Linked DNA regions of Elephas maximus indicus. The protein of the gene in region 1 interacts with the protein of each later gene in a pairwise test. Links are inferred from orthologs where the notes say so. Each region holds a gene or a part of one and is shown on either strand. Other genes may lie near its edges.

The links.
Region 2: the proteins of PRKCI (region 1) and PARD6G interact in binary tests that used the Homo sapiens proteins (3 or more experiments, as listed by UniProt). The link is inferred for Elephas maximus indicus from reciprocal best matches to the Homo sapiens genes PRKCI and PARD6G.

The regions. Positions count from the first base shown.
Region 1 is NC_064841.1:30,473,881-30,483,685, reverse strand, and holds the start of PRKCI (protein kinase C iota type), read left to right. Parts: upstream 1-5,734; 5' UTR 5,735-5,990; coding exon 5,991-6,094; intron 6,095-9,805.
Region 2 is NC_064829.1:87,056,295-87,066,750, reverse strand, and holds the start of PARD6G (partitioning defective 6 homolog gamma), read left to right. Parts: upstream 1-5,713; 5' UTR 5,714-5,808; coding exon 5,809-5,880; intron 5,881-10,456. UniProt on the Homo sapiens protein: Adapter protein involved in asymmetrical cell division and cell polarization processes. May play a role in the formation of epithelial tight junctions. The PARD6-PARD3 complex links GTP-bound Rho small GTPases to atypical protein kinase C proteins.

The DNA.
Region 1 (9,805 bases):
ACTGGATATCCACATGCAAAGAAATGCACTGGGATCATTTCCTTACATCACACACACAAGTTAAAATGGATCATAGCATAACTAGAAAATTCTTAGAAGAAAGCTTAGGAGTAAATGCTCCTGACTTTGAGTTAAGCAAAGCATTCTTAGACATGACACCAAAAGGAGAAACAACAAAGACAATAACAAAAGAGATAAATTTACTTTATGAAAATTAAATACCTTTATGCTACCAATGAAGCCATTAACAAAATGAAAAGATAATGTACAGAATAGGCAAAGCTATTTGGAAATTATCTCATAAAGGACTTGTAACTAGAATATATAAAGAACCCTTACAATTCAATAATAAAGAAAAAATAACGAATTAAAAAATGAGCAAAGGTTCTGAATAGATATTTCTCCAAAGAAGATACACAAATGGCCAATGAGCACATGAAAAAATGTTCAACATCATTAGTCATTGTTGTTGTTGGGTGCTGTTGTATCAATTCCAACTCACAGCAACTATGTGTGAATAGAACTGCCCCATATGGTTTTCTTGGTTGTAATCTTAATGGAAGCAGGCTGCCAGATCTTTCTCCTATGGAGTGGCTGAGTGGGTTCAAGTCACCAACTTCACCATTGTGCCACCAGAGCTCCTTTCATTAGTCATCAGAGTAATGCAAATAAAACCACAATGAGCTACCATTTCACAACCACTAGGATGGCTATACTAAAAAAAGATGAACAAGAAGAACTGTTGGGGAGGGTGTGGAGAAATTGGAGTTCTCATATTCTGTTAGTGGGAATGTAAAATGGTGCAGTCACTTTGGAAAACCGTCTGGCAGTTTCTCCATGGTGCAATGAATTACATAATATGGCCCTTCTACCCATGGTCTTTGCGACTCACACACAATGATTGGGTGGAACTATGCAAACAATGTGTATGGAACCTATGAGCATTGGAGGCACGTGTCAACTTAGCTAGGCTATGATTTCCAGTATTGTGTGATTGTCCTCCATCTTATGTATTGTGGACTGTGACCTCTACATGCTGATGAGGCAGGATTGATGTGGGTGTGTCTTGGGTCCCAGCCTCACAGGAGGGCATGACTCAAGTCCCACCCGTACTCAAGTTATGCCCTTCCCTGGGGTGTGGCTTGCATCTAAGGTATATATGTGGATGCCCTAACTGGGCTCTGTTTCTTTGCATCTGGATCCGTGTCTGGTTTGTGATCATCTAACCTCTAGTTCTTGGGACTTGAGCCAGAGGCCTGCTGTCTGACCTGCCGATTCTGGGATTCACTGGCCTCCACAGCCCTGTGGGCTGACGGCCTGTCTTCTGACCTGATTCACCAGCTTCTGCAGCCTCGTGAACCAGCAGCCTGTGGTATGAACTGCCAGTTTGGATTCATCAGCCCCTGTAGCCACGTGGGTCAAGAGAAGACTACAACTGGCCCGTGGATTTGGAGCTCACCAGCCTCCACAACTGCATGAGTCATTTCGTTGATACAGTTTGTGAGTTCTGTGAGACGTTGCAGTGAATTTTGGAGCCCAAAGATGGGAGGGAGAGCACTGAGGGGAGGAGGAGTAGTTGATCTTAGAAATGATGGAGTGGTATAGCAGTTTGGAAAAGTTGAACATTTGGGACATCTTTAACCTCTGCCTCATAGGAACCAGGAACCAGCTATATGCTGACCCTTATAAAAGAAATTATTCATTCACCCTCAAAAAGTTAAACGTAGAGTTACCATATTGTTGTTGTGGGCAGTCGATTCCAAGTCATAGAGATCATATATGACATAGTGGATCTGGCTCAAGAGCTTCCTAGGCTGTAATCTTTATGGGAGTAGATCACCAGGTCTCTTCTCCCATGGAACGGCTGGTGGGTTCAAATCTGTGACATTTCATTTAGCAGCCAAACATTTAACCATTATGAGTTACATATGAAACAAAAATTCCACTCTTAGGTATATACCCAAAACATAAAAATATATGACATACATAAATTTGTACACAAATGTTCATACAGCATTATTCAAAATAGCTAAAAAATAGAAAAAAACAAAAATGTCCATCAATTGATGAATGGATAAACAAAATCTGGCATAGCCACACAATGGAATATTCTTTCACCATGAAAAGGAATGAAGTGACTCAAAATGGCTCAGTGATCTAAATGTAAGAACTAAAACCGTAAAACTCTTAGAAGAAAACATAAGGGTAAAACTACAGGACTAGTTTTTGACAATGGATTCTTAGATATGATACCAAAAGCACAAAAGACAAAAAAATGAATTGGACTTCAAAAAATTAAAAAAAATTGTGCATCAAAGGACTTTATCAACCAAGTAGAAAGAGTTATATAATGGGAGAAAATATTTGGTAAATATGTATCCTATAAATGTTTAATATCCTGAATATTTAATGAACTACTACCACTCAAAAACCAAAAGACAAACAACTCAATTAAAAAATGGGCAAAGGACTGGAACAGACATTTCACCTGGAAAGGTATACAAATGACCAATAAGCACATTAAAAAATGTGCAATGTCATTAGTCATTGTTTTTGTTAGGTGCCGTTGAGTCAGTTCCAACTCATAGAGACCCTGTGCACAACAGACGGAAACACTGCCCTGTCCTGAGCCATCCTTACAATCGTTGCTATGCTTGAGCTCATTGTTGCAGCCACTGTGTCAATCCACCTCGTTGAGGGTCTTCCTCTTTTCTGCTGACCCTGTACTCTGCTAAGCATGATGTCCTTCTCCAGGGACTGATCCCTCCTGACAACCATTAGTCATTAGGAAATCAAAACCACAAAGAAATATCACTTCAGATGCTAGGATGGCTATTATCAGAAAATGACAAGCATTGGCAAGGAAGTGGGAAAATTGGAATCTCATCCATTGTTGGTGCTAATGTACAATGGAGAAGCCTCTCTGGAAAACAGTCTGGCGGTGCCTCAAAAAGCTAAACATAGACTTACCATATGATCCAGCAATTGCATTCCTAGGTATTTACCTGAAAGACTTGAAAGGGATTCAAACAGATACATGTACACCAATGTTCATTGCAGCATTATTCACAATACGCAAAAGGTGGAAATGACCTAAATGTTCAAAAGATGAATGAATAAACAAAATGTGGTATTTCTATGCGATGGAATATTATTCCCCTATAAAGAGAAATGAAGTTCAGTTCTGAGACATGTTACAACATGGATGAACCTTGAAAATATGCTGAGTGAAATAATTCAGGCCCAAAAGGACAAACACTGTATGACCCCACTTTTATGAAATATAGGCAAATGCATAAAGGCAGAAGTCTGTTTACCAGGGGCTGGGCAAAGGAGGAAACGGAGTTATTGCTTAAAAGGTTCTGAGTTTCTGTTAAAGGTGGTGTTAGAAAAATTGGACTGTATCAAAATTAATTTGGACATGGAAATGCGTAGTGGTGGTGGTTGCACAACACGGTGAATGTAATTAATATTCCTGGGTTGTACATACTTAAATGGTTAAAACGACAAGTATCTTGTTACACATATTCCACCACAATAAAGAAATTAAAATGGGGGTTAAAAAAAAAAAGGGAATGAAGAACTGATATGTGCTACAACATGGATGAACTTTGAAAACATAATGGTCTGTAAAAGAAGCTAGATACAAAAGATCGTATACTATATGGTTCCATTTATATAAAATGTAGAGAAAAGGCACATCCATAAAGACAGAAAGTAGATTAGTGGTTACCAGGAAGAAGGTGGGGAAGAATGAAGAGTGACTGCTAATGAGTGTGGCGGTTCTTTTTGGAGCGATGAAAATGTTCTGGAATGAGAATCTGTGATGATACCACAACTTTGTGAACGTACTAAAAACTATTAAATTGTATACTTTAAATGGGTGAATTGTATGTATGGTGAGTTGTAAAAGTAATCCTGTTAAAATTAATTTCATGCTTTCCCTGATAATCACAACTCATAGCTTTCATCCTTCAGAAAAAAAAATTTATATAGTGGGATTGATGCAACTCGTCAGTATTTACAGGTCCTTATCCCTGGTGACCTAGTGGTTAAGAGCTACCGCTGCCAACCAAAAGGACGACAGTTCAAATCCACCAGGCGTTCCTTGGAAACTCTACGGGGCTGTTCTACTATGTCCTATAGGGTCACTATGAGTCGGAATCGACTCAGCGGCAATGGGTTTTTTTCTTGGGTATAGCAACAAAGTAAGCAATAAGCCTCAGTAAACAAGGGTCACCTTCAAAGCAAGCTACAGGCCAATGATGAATTTTCAAGCTGCAAGGAATAAGGATCTAAATGAAAGTTCCCAATTCCTTACCTTTCACTTCTCTATAAATTCTTCCTCCTCAAATTACATAAATTTCCATTTCTAGAGCATTAGATAATCTTTCAAACTTGCCACAAGCATACTAAATTTTCCGTGGGTCCAATTGAAATTTTGTCATCTCGTTTGAGAAATAACTTACATTCCATAACTAATTGATCCGCATTTAACATGTTGATGCAGGTCTCCAACTGCCCCAAACCTGGTATCATGTCCTTTAAGGGGAAATTTTATTAGAGCACATAATCCAAGTCTGCAGCAGTTGAAGGATGTCACACTAGTATAAGTGTCACACATCACTCTGATGAGGCAATTTCCCAAACCTATTTTAGTAAAAATCCAGTTTATTTGATTATTCCAACTCTTCTAACCTGGATTGGTATCGTGACTGGTGAAGGAGCTAGATCCATGCTACCTGTGATTTTAGTAGGAGTTATGTGACAGAGCAAGACCAGAGGAAAGTCAAAGATTAGGCTGCAAGAATGAATCCTTCCTAATCCTTGGTTAACCGGTGCTAACAGAACAAATGCTAATCAGAGTCATTAACGGGTTGATTGATTGGATAAGTATTCATTGTGCACCTGTCCCGTGCAATGGCAGCACAACGAGGGACTAGCCATAGGGGCCGCGAAGGAAGAAACGTCTGCCTTCCATTGTATCTTTTAATTGCTTTTCCTCCTTTATTACATTCATGATCCTATTTGTTACAAATATTAAATTCTTTCCACAAGAGAGGCTATACTGAGTAAGCGCCCATATTCTTGTTCCCAAGGAAGATACTGCAAAATTTAGATCATCTCGCTATGAGTCGGAACGGACTCGACGGCACTGGGTTGGGTATGCAATTGGAAGGGAGAATTCGTCAGAGAACAAAGTCTTATTCGTGACGAAGCGCAATCGTTTCCAGGGCCCTCAGATGCCCATGCTGAATTCAGAATTTCCACGCCGACGGCTCCCACGTCGCACCCTGGAGACAGACAGGGCCAGGGAAAGACCCGCGTTCCGCACAGAAAGAACCTCAAGTCCCAGAATCCCACGGGAACTCCAAATCCCAGAATCCTGCACCCAAATCTACCCCGAATCCCCAGCGGCCGACTGCCGACGCGACCAAGTTGGAAGCTGGGAGGATACACTGCAGCTTTTGTTCTTTACCATTTTTCTTGCAGGGAAAAGGCTTTTTACAGAGCTATAGTTACCCTATTTTTCTTGTCTTCTTAATTACAGCTCCGAAGATAGGCCCCCTCCCGGCGAATTTGGCGTGATGACAAGCCCTCACTTTTTCCTCTCCCCCCTTTCTCTGGCCTCCGTAAGAATGGTTCAGCCCGGCACTGGGGCTCCGGAGTTGGATCGACGGTTGCGCCCGCCCTATCCCGGAATGCGGGCCTTCGGAACGAGCGAGGTGGGAGGGGCGGAGGCGGGGAGGCTCCCTGGGCCGCGCCTGCCGTAGGGGCTGCGGCGGCGGCTGCCGGGGTGGGAGGAGCCGCGCGCTTCTGGCTGCCGACGCTAGGCGAGGCAACCCTCGGGTCGGCGCTGCGGGCGGGGAGAGCAGGTAGGCAGGCGAGGGGCCGCGACTCTCGAGAGGCTCGGGCGGCTGAGACCCGTACGGCGTCGGCGCCTCCTCCCGCCCCCTCGGCCCCGGGCGTTGAGGCTGGAGAGGGAGGAGATGCCGACCCAGAGGGACAGCAGCACCATGTCCCACCGGGTCGCAGGCGGCGGCGGCAGCGGGGACCATTCTCACCAGGTCCGGGTGAAAGCCTACTACCGCGGGTGAGTGACGTGCGGTGAGGGCAGGAGGGGAGGGGACAGGCCAGCTCGATTTGGCTTGGAGGTGGGGAGGGTGAGGGGCTGAAGGTGTGCTGGGCGGTTTGGGCTGAACGGACGGCTTCTGGGACTCTGGGTGGGTGACAGAGTGGTCGGGAGCGGGAGATGGGGGTGCGGGATTGGAGGCACCCCCAGATGTGGTGCCGGGGTCCTGGGGTGGGGGGCAGAGTAGGATCTGAGGGGGAGCCTTCTCTGAGATAAAGTGGACTTGGTGGGTGTTGGAGACTCACCCACTGAGAGATTCGTACGTAAGGCCTTACGTCAAATCTGGATGTGTTTTGGTTGAGAGTTGAGGATTCTGAGTAATGCCTCAGTTAAATCAGTTTGCTACGGCCTTAGAAGACAGGACTGCATCAGTTCAGCTGGCTCTTTCAATGATTATCGGCAGGCCTAAAGCACCTTGGTCTCTAAGCCAGGTTTATCTTCGTGAAGTGTGCCTGGACTGTGGTCGGGCTGCCAGTGTATCAGACACAGGAGTTATTATTTAAGAGTAAAGTTGATGGGTGTTCAAGGATGTGAATTAGGTACTTAGGTCTTGCCAAGATTAGTTCGCATATGTGTTAAGTAAAATTTTGTGAACCCCTTCTTGACATTGTTGATTCAAGGACCATCCTATAGGGCGAGCTATTGCAAGGTGAGAAGAGGACGAGCCTAGGCACAAGTCTTAAATTCTGTGATCTTTACTCATATCATTACCTAAATTATAACTCCTGTGGTTACCAGGAAGAACCCATCCCTAAAACCATTGTGTTAAATCATGTTCCATTATCAGTGACCCGAAGTGCCACCCTTCCTTTGAACTCAGTTGTGGTTTTGAAATTTCTTTGAGATAACTATGTTTAGAAGCATTAGAAAGTTGAAATGTTAGTGTGAGCGTAAAGAATTCAGACTAAGGGTTAACAGAAAACCCAGCTGCTTGTCCAGGCAGAAGTAAATTGCTTCAAAAACTCAAGCACTGAAAGAAAAAAAAAAAAAAAAAAGAGAAAAACCCTCAAGTACTACAAGATTGAAACTGCATTGCATACTTTCACATTCCTGAGAGGATCAGTGAAGATAGAAAAATCTCAAATTGCCTCTTTTGTTTTAATTTCGAAGAAAAAGAAGCTCCTAAATATTTTGTTGATTTGATGTCAGAACTTACTAGTTTGCTGCAATGAAGCCTGTGACCTCTATTTATTAGCTTGACTGTATTCAGGACTGTATAAGGTGTTATGTTGGACAATATATCTGTTTTTACTTTAATTGATCAAGGGGGTATTGATTTTAAAATAATACCAAGAAGTGTAAAAAGTTTGTGGTTGTCATAAGAGCTGTTTTAACTTGAGGGTGGTCAGCCATGTATTTTGCATTGTGGGAAAAGTTTTGCTTCCTTTACCTTATCTTTAATTTGATAGATAATTCACCGTAGAGTATGTTCCATTTTATGAAGTGGACAGTCCATGAATTGTTAAGTGCAAGGAATGAGATAATAGTACATGTTTTTTAAAAAAAATGAATAAAAAAGATGTTGATAATTGACAATTTTGAAAAACTAGGTAAAAAAAACAAAAACATGCAAATTGTACAGAAGTATAAAATAAAAAGTACTCCCCACCCCCCAACCCAGCATCCAAGGTAACTAACCACTGTTGACAGTTTATTCCTGGTTCTTTTGGAGGTTGCCTTTATTACTTTTTTTTTTATAACTTTTATTAAGCTTCAAGTGAACGTTTACAAATCCAATCAGTCTGTCACATATAAGTTTACATACATCTCACTCCCTACTCCCACTTGCTCTCCCCCTCTTGAGTCAGCCCTTTCAGTCTCTCCTTTCTTGACAATTTTGCCGGCTTCCCTCTCTCTCTATCCTCCCATCCCCCCTCCAGACAAGAGTTGCCAACACACTCTCAAGTGTCCACCTGATATAATTAGCTCACTCTTCATCAGCATCTCTCTCCCACCCGCTGACCACTCCCTTTCATGTCTGATGAGTTGTCTTCGGGGATGGTTCCTGTCCTGTGCCAACAGAAGGTCTGGGGACCATGGCCGCCGGGATTCCTCTAGTCTCAGTCAGACCATTAAGTATGGTCTTTTTATGAGAATTTGGGGTCTGTATCCCACTGATCTCCTGCTCCCTCAGGGGTCCTCTGATGTGCTCCCTGTCAGGGCAGTCATCGATTGTGGCCGGGCACCAACTAGTTCTTCTAGTCTCAGGATGATGTAGGTCTCTGGTTCATGTGGCCCTTTCTGTCTCTTGGGCTCTTAGTTGTCGTGTGGCCTTGGTGTTCTTCATTTTCCTTTGCTCCAGGTGGGTTGAGACCAATTGATGCATCTTAGACTGCCTTTATTACTTTTAAAAGTTAAATTCTGTTTCGTGGTATATCAACTTTAGAAAGCATCTATTGATTCCTTCCCCTGAAAGATGAGAAATAGGGTGCACACTACTTTCTGTTTCCCTACTCCCCCCCCCCAAAAAAAACAAACCCATTGCCCTTGAGTCGATTCCGATTCATTGTGACCCTATAGGACAGAGTAGAACTGCCCCATAGGGTTTCCAGGCAGCGCCTGGCAGATTCGAACTGCCAACCTTTGGTTAGCAGCCTGACTCTTAACCACTACGCCACCAGGGTTTCTCCTTTCTTCCCAGTGCCTCTCAATTTTTGGTTGTTAATTATCATACTCGTTCTGCTGGTTACCTTTATGACTTCAAATTATACAAATTCTTGACTTACTAACCTTACATAGTCTCCGGTGACTCCAACTATGAAAAATGGAATTAGTGCTTTTTCTTTTTTTGTTGTTTTATTAGTTTGACAAACATAAATAGGCCTAGTTAGTAAATCAAAGTGATTGTAAGCTTCTCTTTTAGAAAGAAGCCAAAGTCTTGCTGTACTCTAGGAACACAGGTATCTTATGTTGTCTTGGCTTGTTGCTCCAATAATTTAAAGGAGAGTATGAGGACATAATAATCTCTTTAGTGCTTTAACCTTTGAGGCGAGGAGGGAGGAAATTCTGGCCCAGTGGGACAGCAGAACCACGTGCTACCTGGTTGCAGGCAGCAGCAGCAGCATCAGGGACTGTTCTCCAAGACATTCAAGTTAACGTTTTGTTTTTTTTTTTAAACTTATGAATTTTTGCTAAGCAAAGACAAGAATTAACCCTCTCCCTTTAGTGCTTTTTATTCAATGAAAGCTTTCTAGTAGTGCCTTCATTTCAAGCTGCATTTAAAGACGACATCAACAGTTTCTAAATTGTATCAATTTTTGTCCTATGAAATTAGATCTGTTAAGATGATAGTTTATTAACAGTAGTCTAAACTGGCGGTTGTGATGTTACATGGTCAGCTGCTTATTACTACTGATGAAGTGACAATGAGTCACCAGCGAGTATAGGTTATGAACAGGTTGGCTAACTAGAACACCTTCTACATGATTTTAGAATAGAAGATCCCAGCTTTATACCAAGAAACGTAAGGACAATCTGCATTTGAAAAAGTTTTATTTTTTCTCAGATTTTCTGAATGGCCTTCCCCTTATCCCCTTCTAGCAATATTGCCTCCCAGTAGTTGCTGAATCTTGGAATAGCCAGAATTATTTAGTGAATTAATTGCCCTCTCCTTTCAAACATGTGTATGCTATTCTCATTCTGTTAAGTTTGACTTCAGCGAAAATGTGATGT
Region 2 (10,456 bases), on another chromosome or scaffold:
GTGAAACATCATAAGCATCTATATTATTTTTACTGTGTGTTAGGCAATGTGACGAGTGCAATGTGACAAGTGCTCTTTGTAACCACATTTCTCTCCTAGAGTCCTCACAAAAAGCCTATTTTAGGGAGGAAGACATTGAGGGTGTAAATATTATCTAGATCGCAGCTGGGTAGGAGTAGAGCATTGATATCTTCCTGCGCTGTCCAGATCCACATGTTTTTAGCTGTCATACCACACTGCCTCCTAATTCTATCTGGTTCTGGCTGGGTCCTTTATTCATGCACCCCTGATATAAACCCTACATCACAGCCTCTCTGTTTGCTCCTAGTTGTGCACATGGATGGTGCCCACCAGGGTGCTAGAAGCCCCGCCCCATGTGTCTGGTGACGCTGGGGTTCTTTCTACTTTCTTTGCTCTAAGTTTCTTTGTTCCTTCCTCAAACAACCATCCTTTGCTCCCCACCGAAGGAGGAGCTGGTGGAGGGAAGGTGAAGCTCAAATATTATAATAGCAGCAAACACAGAGGTGCTTCCTGGTGTCAGGGGCTATTCTAAGCGCTCATACACTTGCACTCATTTAACCCTCATAACAGTCTTGTGAGGCTATTATTATTCTTATTACCTCCATTTTACAGATGAGGAAACCAAGGCAGAGAGGACGAGTAATGTGTCCAAACTCACACTCGAGTGATCAGAACCAGAGGGTCTGGTGCTCCTGACCAGCAAACTCCGACCATACCTGGCCCATTCCACCAAGACGTTTTGGTTCCAGCAGTCTCTGACATTTGGCTGTGTCCCTGGCCCAGGTTCTGTCGTTGTTGTTGTTAGGTGCTGTCAAGTCGATTCTGACTCATAGCGACCCTATGTACAAAAGAATGAAACACTGTCTGGTCCTGAGCCACCCTCACAATCGTTGCTATGTTTGAGTCCATTGTTGCAGCCACTGGGTCAATCCATCTCATTGAGGGTCTTCCTCTTTTTTGCTGACTCTATCCTTTACCAAGGATGATGTAGCAGAAAGTCTCACCATCCTCATTTCTAAGGAGGATTCTGGCTGTACTTCTTCCAAGATAGATTTGTTTATTCTTTTGGCAGTCCATGGTATATTCAGTATTCTTTGCCAACACCACAATTCAAAGGCATTGATTCTTCTTCTGTCTTCCTTACTCATTATCCAACTTTCCCATGCATATAAGGCAACTGAAAATACCATGGCTTCGGTCAGGTGCACTTTAGTCCTCAAGGTGACATCTTTGCTTTTTAAGACTTTAAAGAGGTCTTTTGCAGGAGATTTGCCCAATGCAATACATTCTAGGATCAGGTTCTAGGATTCCCATAATAAATCCCCTTACAACCCAAATGGCTCTAACTAACCTACTTGGGCAAGTGCAAAGTTAGAAAACAGTCCATGAGACAATCCTCACCTCTGACACCACCTGTACATTGAAGGTCCCCAAGCCCACAGCCATCTGTGGTCTCTGTCTCCCTTGCTGGGAGAAAGGACAGTACTTGTTGACATTTTGCGCCTCGGAGGGAGCAAAATGAACATGTTAACTTTATCTGAAAAATTATTTCTAAAGCCTCTTCTAATGTAACCGGCTATGAGCCTATGACAAACTGAAGATAAAATGGGAGCATGTCGGGGAGAGGAAGCAGTAGCGGCCAAGCTGGAGAATGGGGAGAGGGTACAACTTGAAAAAGGAGATGACAGCAAGTAGGCTGGAAAAAGGAAGAACATGTAGACCTCCCCTAAGCCCCCTCCTTCACTTCAAGCACAGACTTTGACCTAGCTCTGTTGATGACCAAGCTCAAAGAGATATCAGTACTCTGCTTTTAAAACATAAAAAGTCTTGTGCACCCTGGGCAAAGCCCAAGTGCCAACTAATATCTATAGAAGGGAAGAAAAAGGATAGATTATTTCTTCTATTTATCCTTTTACTCTGAATGTGCATCTGTTCATTTTTGTGTGTTGCTAGGTGTTAGCATTTGAAAATGTTGGCTAAGCTTGCTCTCTGATTTGAAAGTCAAGAAAGTGTCATTTATTTTTGACCCAAACTAGATTGTTTATTTGACGTTTAAACAGAAGACCATTCCTGTGATGGTTAAGATTCTGTGTCAACTTGGCTGGGCCATGATTCTCAGTGTTTTTATGTGATCACTTCCATGATGGGATGTGCTGTGAGTAGCCAATCAGTTGAAAGGGAGTTTCCTTGGGTGTGTGGTCTGCATTCAAATATAAGCAGATGTTCTGGCTCTTTTGCTTGCTCTGGATCCTACAGCTGGCTCCTGTTCATCAGACCTCCTGTTCTTGGGACTTGAGCTAGCAGCTTACCTGCTGAACTTGGGATTTCTCAATCTTCACAGCCTGTGAGCAAGAGCCCTGCTTTCTGACCTGCTGATCTTGGGTTCGCCATCCCCTGCAGCTGCGTGAATCAGGAGAAGCCTCTATCCTGATCCACAGGCTTGGGACATTCCAGCCTCTACAACCACAAGCAGTTTCTTTGATATAAATCTCTCTCTCTCTCCATATATATATTTATACACTTTACTGGTTTTGTTTCTCTAGAGAACCCAGCCTAAGACAATTCCCAACTGTACTTCTTCCCCATTGCTCAATATTAAAACTTGTTCATGTTTACAAATGAACATGTCTAGTACACAGTAAGAAGTAGTGGTCAAAAACAGGGGGTTCAGGATATAGAAAAGGCTATGTTTAAATCCTGGTTCTGTAGCTTGTTAGCTGTGTGACCTTAAGTGAATTATTTACTATCTCGAAGCTTCAAATTTTCCTTTGGTAAAATGGGGATGATAATTGTAGTATAATTGTAGTATTGTTGCAAAATATGTAGAACACTCATATGGATTAAGTTGTGTCACCCAAAAAGATGATATTAAAGTCCTAACCCCTGATACTTGCGAATGTGATTTTGTTTAGGAATAGGGTCTTTGAAGATGTTACCAGTTAAGTTAGCATGAGGTCATACTGAAATAGGGTGGACTCTAATGCAACCCGAATGGTGTCCTAGGAAAGAGAAGAGACACAGAGGCAGGATGGCCATGTGAACACACAGGCAGAGATGGAGTTATGCAGCAGCTGCAAGCCAAGGAATGCCTGGAGCTACTAGGAAGAAAGGATCTTTCCCTAGAGCCTTGAGAAAGAACATGGCCCTGTCGACACCCTGAATTTACCTTCTATTTTCTCTGCTTTGAGCTGCTGAGATTCAACTGTGTGTGGAAGACACTTGGCATCAGCCCCTTCCCAGCACATGCCCATGTGCAAAGGTGGATTGCTTAAAGGTCATTTTGGACATTTGGAGAATGTATTGACCCTATTGCTTGGCGATGTGGAATCTGTTGCTGACTGGGCTCTTTCTCCAAAGGTTTTCTCCCATTCCTAAACCCTTGAGCTTGCTGGTCCACCCCTCCCCAACCTAGAATGCTGCTCATCCCTCCTCTCAATCCCTTGTCCCTCTCTCTTTAAAATATCTGACTCCTGACCATCTCCTCCTACTCATGACAAAACAATGTTGTTCACACTAACTGGTAGCTGGCAGCCAGCAATAAATCTATGATTTTCTTTAAGACCAAAGACCCACATTCAGTTTAGGAAATTTCCCTTTGAAAGACAAGTCAGTTTGTTCTGTTTCAGCTGCTAAGTGTGTATCTCTTGGCACTTGTTGTGTGCTTACTTACTTCTTCATGTGGGCCTTATTTCAGAACTCTGTCTGGTCCCCTGGCCAGTCTCTTATTTTCTTTTAAGGGCAGGGATTGTAACTCTGTGACTTTGTAATCATAGTCCCTGGCATGTAATAGGGTAATTATTAGTGAAATGAAACGAAAATTAAATTTTGGAGACTGCATTTTGGCAATCTGCATTAAAAGCTTTAGAACTGTGTGTACTCTATGGCCTAGAAATTCCATTTTTTGCAATCAAGTCTAAAGATACAATCACAAATAAGTGTATTCAAGAAAAAAAGTACTATATAAGAGAAAAACATTGGAAACATCTTAAATATCCCATAATAAGTCATAATTAAAAATTATGCTTATATTTATCTGTGTAACTTTTAAAAAATAATGTTTTCTAAGAATTTTTAATGAAATTTTCCTTAACATTAGGTGAAAAAAGCAAGTTGTAAAACTGGATAAACACAATGATCACAATTTTGTAAATTATATAAATATGCATGTAGGAAAATCAACTGAAATAAAATGTATCAAAAGGTTAGGTGTGTTACAGAGAACCCGTGAGGGAGCAGGAGAGCAGTGGGATGCAGACCTCAAATTTTCGTAAGAAGACCAGACTTAATGGTCTGACTGAGATTAGAAGCACCCCGGCGGTCATGGTCCCCAGACCTTCTGTTAACCCAAGACAGGAACCACTCCCAAAGCCAACTCTTCAGAAAGGGATTAGACTGGACAATGGGATAGCAAATGATACTGGTGAAGAATGAGCTTCTTGGACCAAGTAGACACATGAGACTATGTTGGTATCTCCTGTCTGGAGCAGAGATGAGAGGGCGGGGGGGGGGGGTGGTCAGAAGCTGGCCAAATGGACAGGAAAATAGAGAGTGGAGGGAAGGAGTGTGCTGTCTCATTAGGGAGAGAGCAGTTAGGAGTATTTAGCAAGGCGTATATAAATTTTTGTATGAGAGACTGACTTAATTTGTAAACTTTCACTTAAAGCACAATAAAAATAAGGTTAGGTGCATTGATTGTTGAATGGTGTGATTCTGAGTGATTTTAACAGTTTTCTTTCATTTCTTTATATTCTCCAGATTTCTTTTACAATGAACTTATACTAAATGTATAACTTATAATAGTATATATAACTTTAAAATTATAATTTATTTTATACATTATAATTAATAATAAAAAAAACTGTTACGTCTTCTTAGTTCATCATAAAGTCCTGAAGGACAGGGACTGTATCTTTGGTTTTGTAGACAGCCCCTTTTCCAGGGGCTTCTGATTAATAAGCACCCCAGCGAAGTTGCTAACAACCGGTGCCATCTTTCTCCTAAAATGTTCTTTTCTTCTAAGGGCTGCCTTTGGAAAAAAAAAAAAAAAAAAAAAACTTCTCATCAGGCCTAGAGTGCTCTGACTCTTCCTTATCTCGTTTAATTTGACCTGTGCTTGGCTGTTCCTTAGGAGTTTGCCTCCCTGCAGACCCCCCTCGAAGACTACCTACAATTGGGCAACTGGTATATACAGGTGAATACCAGTGTAATCAAGCCTCCTGTGGTTTTCATTAGCATTACTCTCTTAAATAATTACCGGAGACAATGCCAGAAACCAGTCCCCTTCCCAGGCTGTCTGTGGAGGCCAAACAGAACCTTGGCTGGGCGAGCCGGGGCACGAAGGAAGCGAGGCGGCCCGGGCGGGTCGGTGAGAGCACGGTTGGAGGATGACTAGGTTTCCTTTCCCGCCCGCGGAGAGCCCCTGACGAGGGCCGCCAAGCGGCATCTTCGGGGCGGGGCCGCGGAGGACGGGGCGTGGGGCGTGGCCTCTGGTGGGCGGGACAAGGGCGGGGCCTCGGGCGCGGGGAGGTGGGGCAGTGCGCGCCGGCGTCCCCGTTCCTCCCGCGCGCGTTCTCCGGTGTCCCGGAGGCGCGCGGCCAGCCCCGCTCGGCCCCGCCACACAGGGAGTCCGCGGGGCGCGAGGCAGTCGGACCCGGACAGCGGCCGGGGCGCACGGCAAGGAAGCGGAGTCGTGGGGTACAGGCGTGGCGGGTAGGGTCGCGGCTCCCAGAGCCCTTCTGCAGACCCTGCGGAGCGAGGGCGACGACGAGGCAGCCCGGGGCCGAAACCATGAACCGGAGTTTCCACAAGTCTCAGACCCTGCGCTTCTACGACTGCAGCGCCGTGGAAGTCAAAAGCAAGGTTAGCGCGGAGGGGTCTGCCCGGCCGGGGGCTTTGCACCCCCTTCAAATGAATGGGGAGGACGCGGAGGGGCCTGACAAAGTGGGAGGGAGAGGCGCCGGCAACAACTTTCCGAGCTCGTGCACTGCCCGCCCCTCGGCGCGGGGCCGCGCGGGGCCGCGGGATGCACAGGGGTCTGGCTGTTTGCGGGCCCCGCAGACAAAGCCGGCGCCCAGGATGGTCAGCTCGGAGCCGGCGCGGCCGGAGGGCCGAGGGCCAGCGGGAGCAGCTTGCGCGGGGCCGGAGCGCTCTGCCAAAACTGCTCTTTTGTTCAGCCAGCTGAGGGGCGACCCGGGCGCTCTGCACGTTCGTAGGGAGGGCGGCGTTTCCTGGGCGAACCGGGGCCGTGGGCTGCTCGGGGTCGGGCTTCTTAGAAAGGGCCCTGGCCGCGCCGCCTCCTTCGCGTTGCGGAGGAGACTCCTTACCAGCGATGAGGCCGGCCGCGAGCGTCCTGAGTGGGACCGCCGGACTAGACTCCAGTTCCAGCACCCAGTCCGGACTGAATACCCCCGCCCCACCCTCCAGTTCCCTGGTGTCCTGGACCCTCTGATTCCCAAGTCTCCCGGGCCCTCTGGTCCCCCTGGCGCGCCCCCTGGCTCCCGAGTTCGGCCCCTAACTCACCACCTGGCTCCCAAACCCTGGGTCTGGCTCCAGGCACCCCCTGGACTGGACCCCTCAGGCCCCCAGCCCAGCCCTCCAGTCCCGCGTTTACCCCGGCCGGTCCCCAGGCCCTGCACCTCCAGACGCCCGCGCCCGGCCCGAGCGTGCCCGAACCTGCGGGTGATCGGGTGTGTGTGGGGACGATTGTCTGATAGGATCAGGCGAATGTGCCCTTTGCGGGGGCGGCTCCCCTACCGCGCCTTCGCCGCAGAAGAAGGTCTCAGTCGTGGACCCGCAGGCCAAGGAGCAGCCTCAGCCTTTAGGGTCCGGAGGAGGGGGTGCTCGGCCTTGGAATGATTGCTGCCCAAGAGGAGCTCTCTTGCACCCTTTTCTGCACCACCTTCCTTCTCTGTAAAGGGGTGGGCCGCGGAAGGTGGGCTCGAGACCTCGCTCCGCGCCCACCTGGGGCCCAGCCTCTGGGGAGATGTCTGTGGAACCCGGGAGGCGAGTCCAGCGGTACCCCTCCCCTGGCTGCCCAGACCCACCGAGGGGTCTCTAGGGGCAGAACAGGCGGGGCTGTTTTTCGACCCCTTACTTTCTCATTAGGAGACCCTGCCCTTCCCCCACGCTAACTCTAACTCTGGCCACATTCCCTCTTCTGCCCAGGAGTGCCCACCGAAATCAAATGTCCTCTTTGGGTTATGTAAGGGGGAGGAAACTGCGAGCATGAGTGGGAGGCAAAAATAACCGTCCAGTTTCCTTAATTTGGTCAAATGTAACTTTCTAGAGATGCACCGTCCAGCACAATAGCCACGCGTGGTATCTACTTTTTTAAAAGTTTTTATTTTGATATAATTGTAGATTGACAAGAAGTTTTAAGAAATAATAAGGATCCCCTTTTTAATGGTAACACCGCGCACAGCTACCGCGCAGCATCGGACCCAAGAAGTTGGTGTGGATGCACTCCCCTGACCTCATTCTTCTCACCAGCTGGATGCACACATATGTGTGAGAGTGAATGTGTATGGTGTGTGTGACTGCGTGATAGTGTATATGTGTGAATGTGTGTGTGAGTATAAGCATGTGAGTGTGTATATGAGTATGTGTGACAGTGTGAGTGTGTGGTGTGTGTGAGTGTGTGCTTGTGTGTGTGCAAAGTGTGAATGCATGGAAATTGTGTGATTAAGTGCCTGTGGTATATGTGAGTATGTATATATGTAAGAATGTGTGTGAGAGCATGTGAGCGTATGTTCCACAGTGTGTGAGCGTGTGGTATGTGAGAGTGTGTATATGTGTAAGCATGGGTGAGTGTGTCGTGTGAGGGTATGTGTGTGAGAGCATGTGTGTGTATGAGTGGAACAGTGTGAGGGAGCATTGTGATTGTGTGTATAAGTGTATGTATGTGAGAGAATATGTATGTGGGAGTGTGTGTCCGTGTGTGTGGTGTGAGAGTGTGTGTGACTGTGGGGCTCTGAGTGTGTGTGTATTTAGTCCTATGCAGTTTTTTTTTATCATATGTGTAGTCTTGTGTGACTACCAGTGCGGTCTTTTTACAGTGGCTTCTTAATTTCATTAAAATTAAAAACTCAGTCCCTGTGTAGCACTGGCCACAGACAGCATGGCTGAAGAGGACCAGAGGCACAAATCAGGCCTGGATCCCCTGGGGGAAGTCCGCCTGGGAGAGGGTTAGGGCTGCTGCCTTTGCTCCAGGCAGCGAGGAGCCTGCCTCAGGCCACTGTGTCTCAGGGAGCAGCTGCCTGACTCCCTCTGCTCTGCCCAGGTGAGGGCACTCTGCAAGGCCCACATGGCCTGGGCCTGTGGCCAGCTGGCTCGCTGGACACTGCCCCCCGCCCCCCCAGCAGGCTTTCAGATGATGGCCGGAACTTATTGTTTGTTCAGAGAGGCCCAGGCTCTTCCCTCTGGACACCCTCCCACAGACCGACTTTGTAGTTGGTAGTCGTTAGCACAAGAGATGTTTGAACCTATTTTGAAGAATAATAAGAAAAATTGTTTGCACCAGGCTTGGGCATTGGCGCAGCTCGGCAGGAGCCTGTTTCTACTCCATGCATTTGTGTCAAAATAGAGCAAAACTTGATGGAAAACCTGTCTTTACTCAGCCTCCTGCAGCACCATACAACTTGGGCTTTTACATGGGGAGAATGGTGGTGAGGAGCTGGGCCCAGGCAAGGCCCGCCCTGCTCTCTTCTCGAACTTCCAGGCTCTTCCGAGTCTCAGTTGTTTAGTCTGTAAAACAGCGCTATACCTGTTCTGCGTGCCTCCCAGAGCCAAACAAGCTGATGAATGTGAAGACATTCCCCACGTTGTAAGAGAGTTAAGAGCTGTGGGTCAGGATCCTGTGGTGTTTCGGGGTGTTGGGTCTGCAGACCTCCTCCAACCCTCTCAGAATTCTTGACATTGGCCATACCCTACAACTGGTCAGCTCCCAATGGCCTGGGGACAGGGTCCAGGTGTGCAGCAGGGGTGGGGCATGAACTTGACTTGGTGACTCCCTCCCCTTCCCCAGAGACCTCAGCTTTTGCACCAGTAGTTCTCTGTGCCCCAGGCCAGCTGTTTGTACTTTTGGTTGTGGTAATTAGGCCGAATTTTGCCACTTACCTTTGGCTTGTGCCTCTCCTCACAGAAGACCTGAAGGTGGGGAGGGAGGCAGATACAAAGACATCTGGGTGGGGCGGGGGGGAGGGAGACACATTTCAGACCAGGGAGATAGAGAGCGACACGATGCCCTTAGGAATTGAGTAGTGCCTTTAACTGCATCTGTATTTGTCAGCCCCACTGGCATCTGCGCATCCTGCAAGACTGAAGGGAAGCATTCATCTCATCTGCGTGCGATGCTCTGTGCGAGGGTTGCTGTGTCTCCACCCCACCCACTCACCCTGGCTGGAGGCCCCTGTATTACCTGTCTGAGTTATATATTCCCAGGCTCCTTCCAACTCAGACATTGATTACCAGCTACTCATGTTCTCCATCCCTGAGCTAATGGCTGAAGCCCATGTTTTTTCTGACCTGCGTGCCTCTGGTTTTGTTGCTTCCCCGTCTGCTTTGTCTAAAAATCTACCCTACTTTGATGACCTCTTAAAGTGCTTTCTCTTCTACAGAGATTCCTGATTCCACCACCAGTGCCCCCCCTACTTCATCTGACCCTTTCTCATATTTCTGTATCTCTTGTGGCACGGGATAGAACTCTGGCTTAGACGTTATTTTTCCTAAGCAACTATTATATAACTATACACTGTAAGCCCTTTTTAAGGAAGGGATGGTGTTTACACCTCATAAGTCTACAGTAGCCACTGTATTTGGGAGAGAACAACTCCATTGAAGTTTTTAATCCAGTTTTTGCTTCTTTGTTTAAATAACATTGGGGGCTTTTTTGGATTATATAAAGCGCATTGTTGCTGTAGAAAATTTAGAACCTATAGCCAAGCACAGAGAGGAGTAAAAGCCATTGGTTAATGGTCCCATCCAAGGTGAACCACTGTTAGCATGTTGCTCAATGTCCTTCTGGTATTTTTTGTACCCATGTGTACATACATACATTTTCGTCTTCTAGCATTAACATTTCTAGCATTTCGTCTTCTACTCTGTCCTATAGGGTCGCTATGAGTCGGAATGGACTTGACGGGAGTGGGGTTTCTTTTTAGCATTAGGATAATATTTTATAGGCACAGTATTTTGTAGACTGCCTCCCCTCCAGTTTAAGAATGTTTTGCACATGTTTCTCATGTCATTAATATTTTTAGAAATGTTTTTTAAATGACTACATCTTACATCTACACCATAATTTAACTGATATCCTGTTTGAGTTATTTCCATTTTTTGCTGTAATAAACAATGCTGCGAATAACATCTTTATAGTTAAATCTTTATGTAAAAATGATATATACAACATATGTAATATAGACTACATGTATAAAGTATA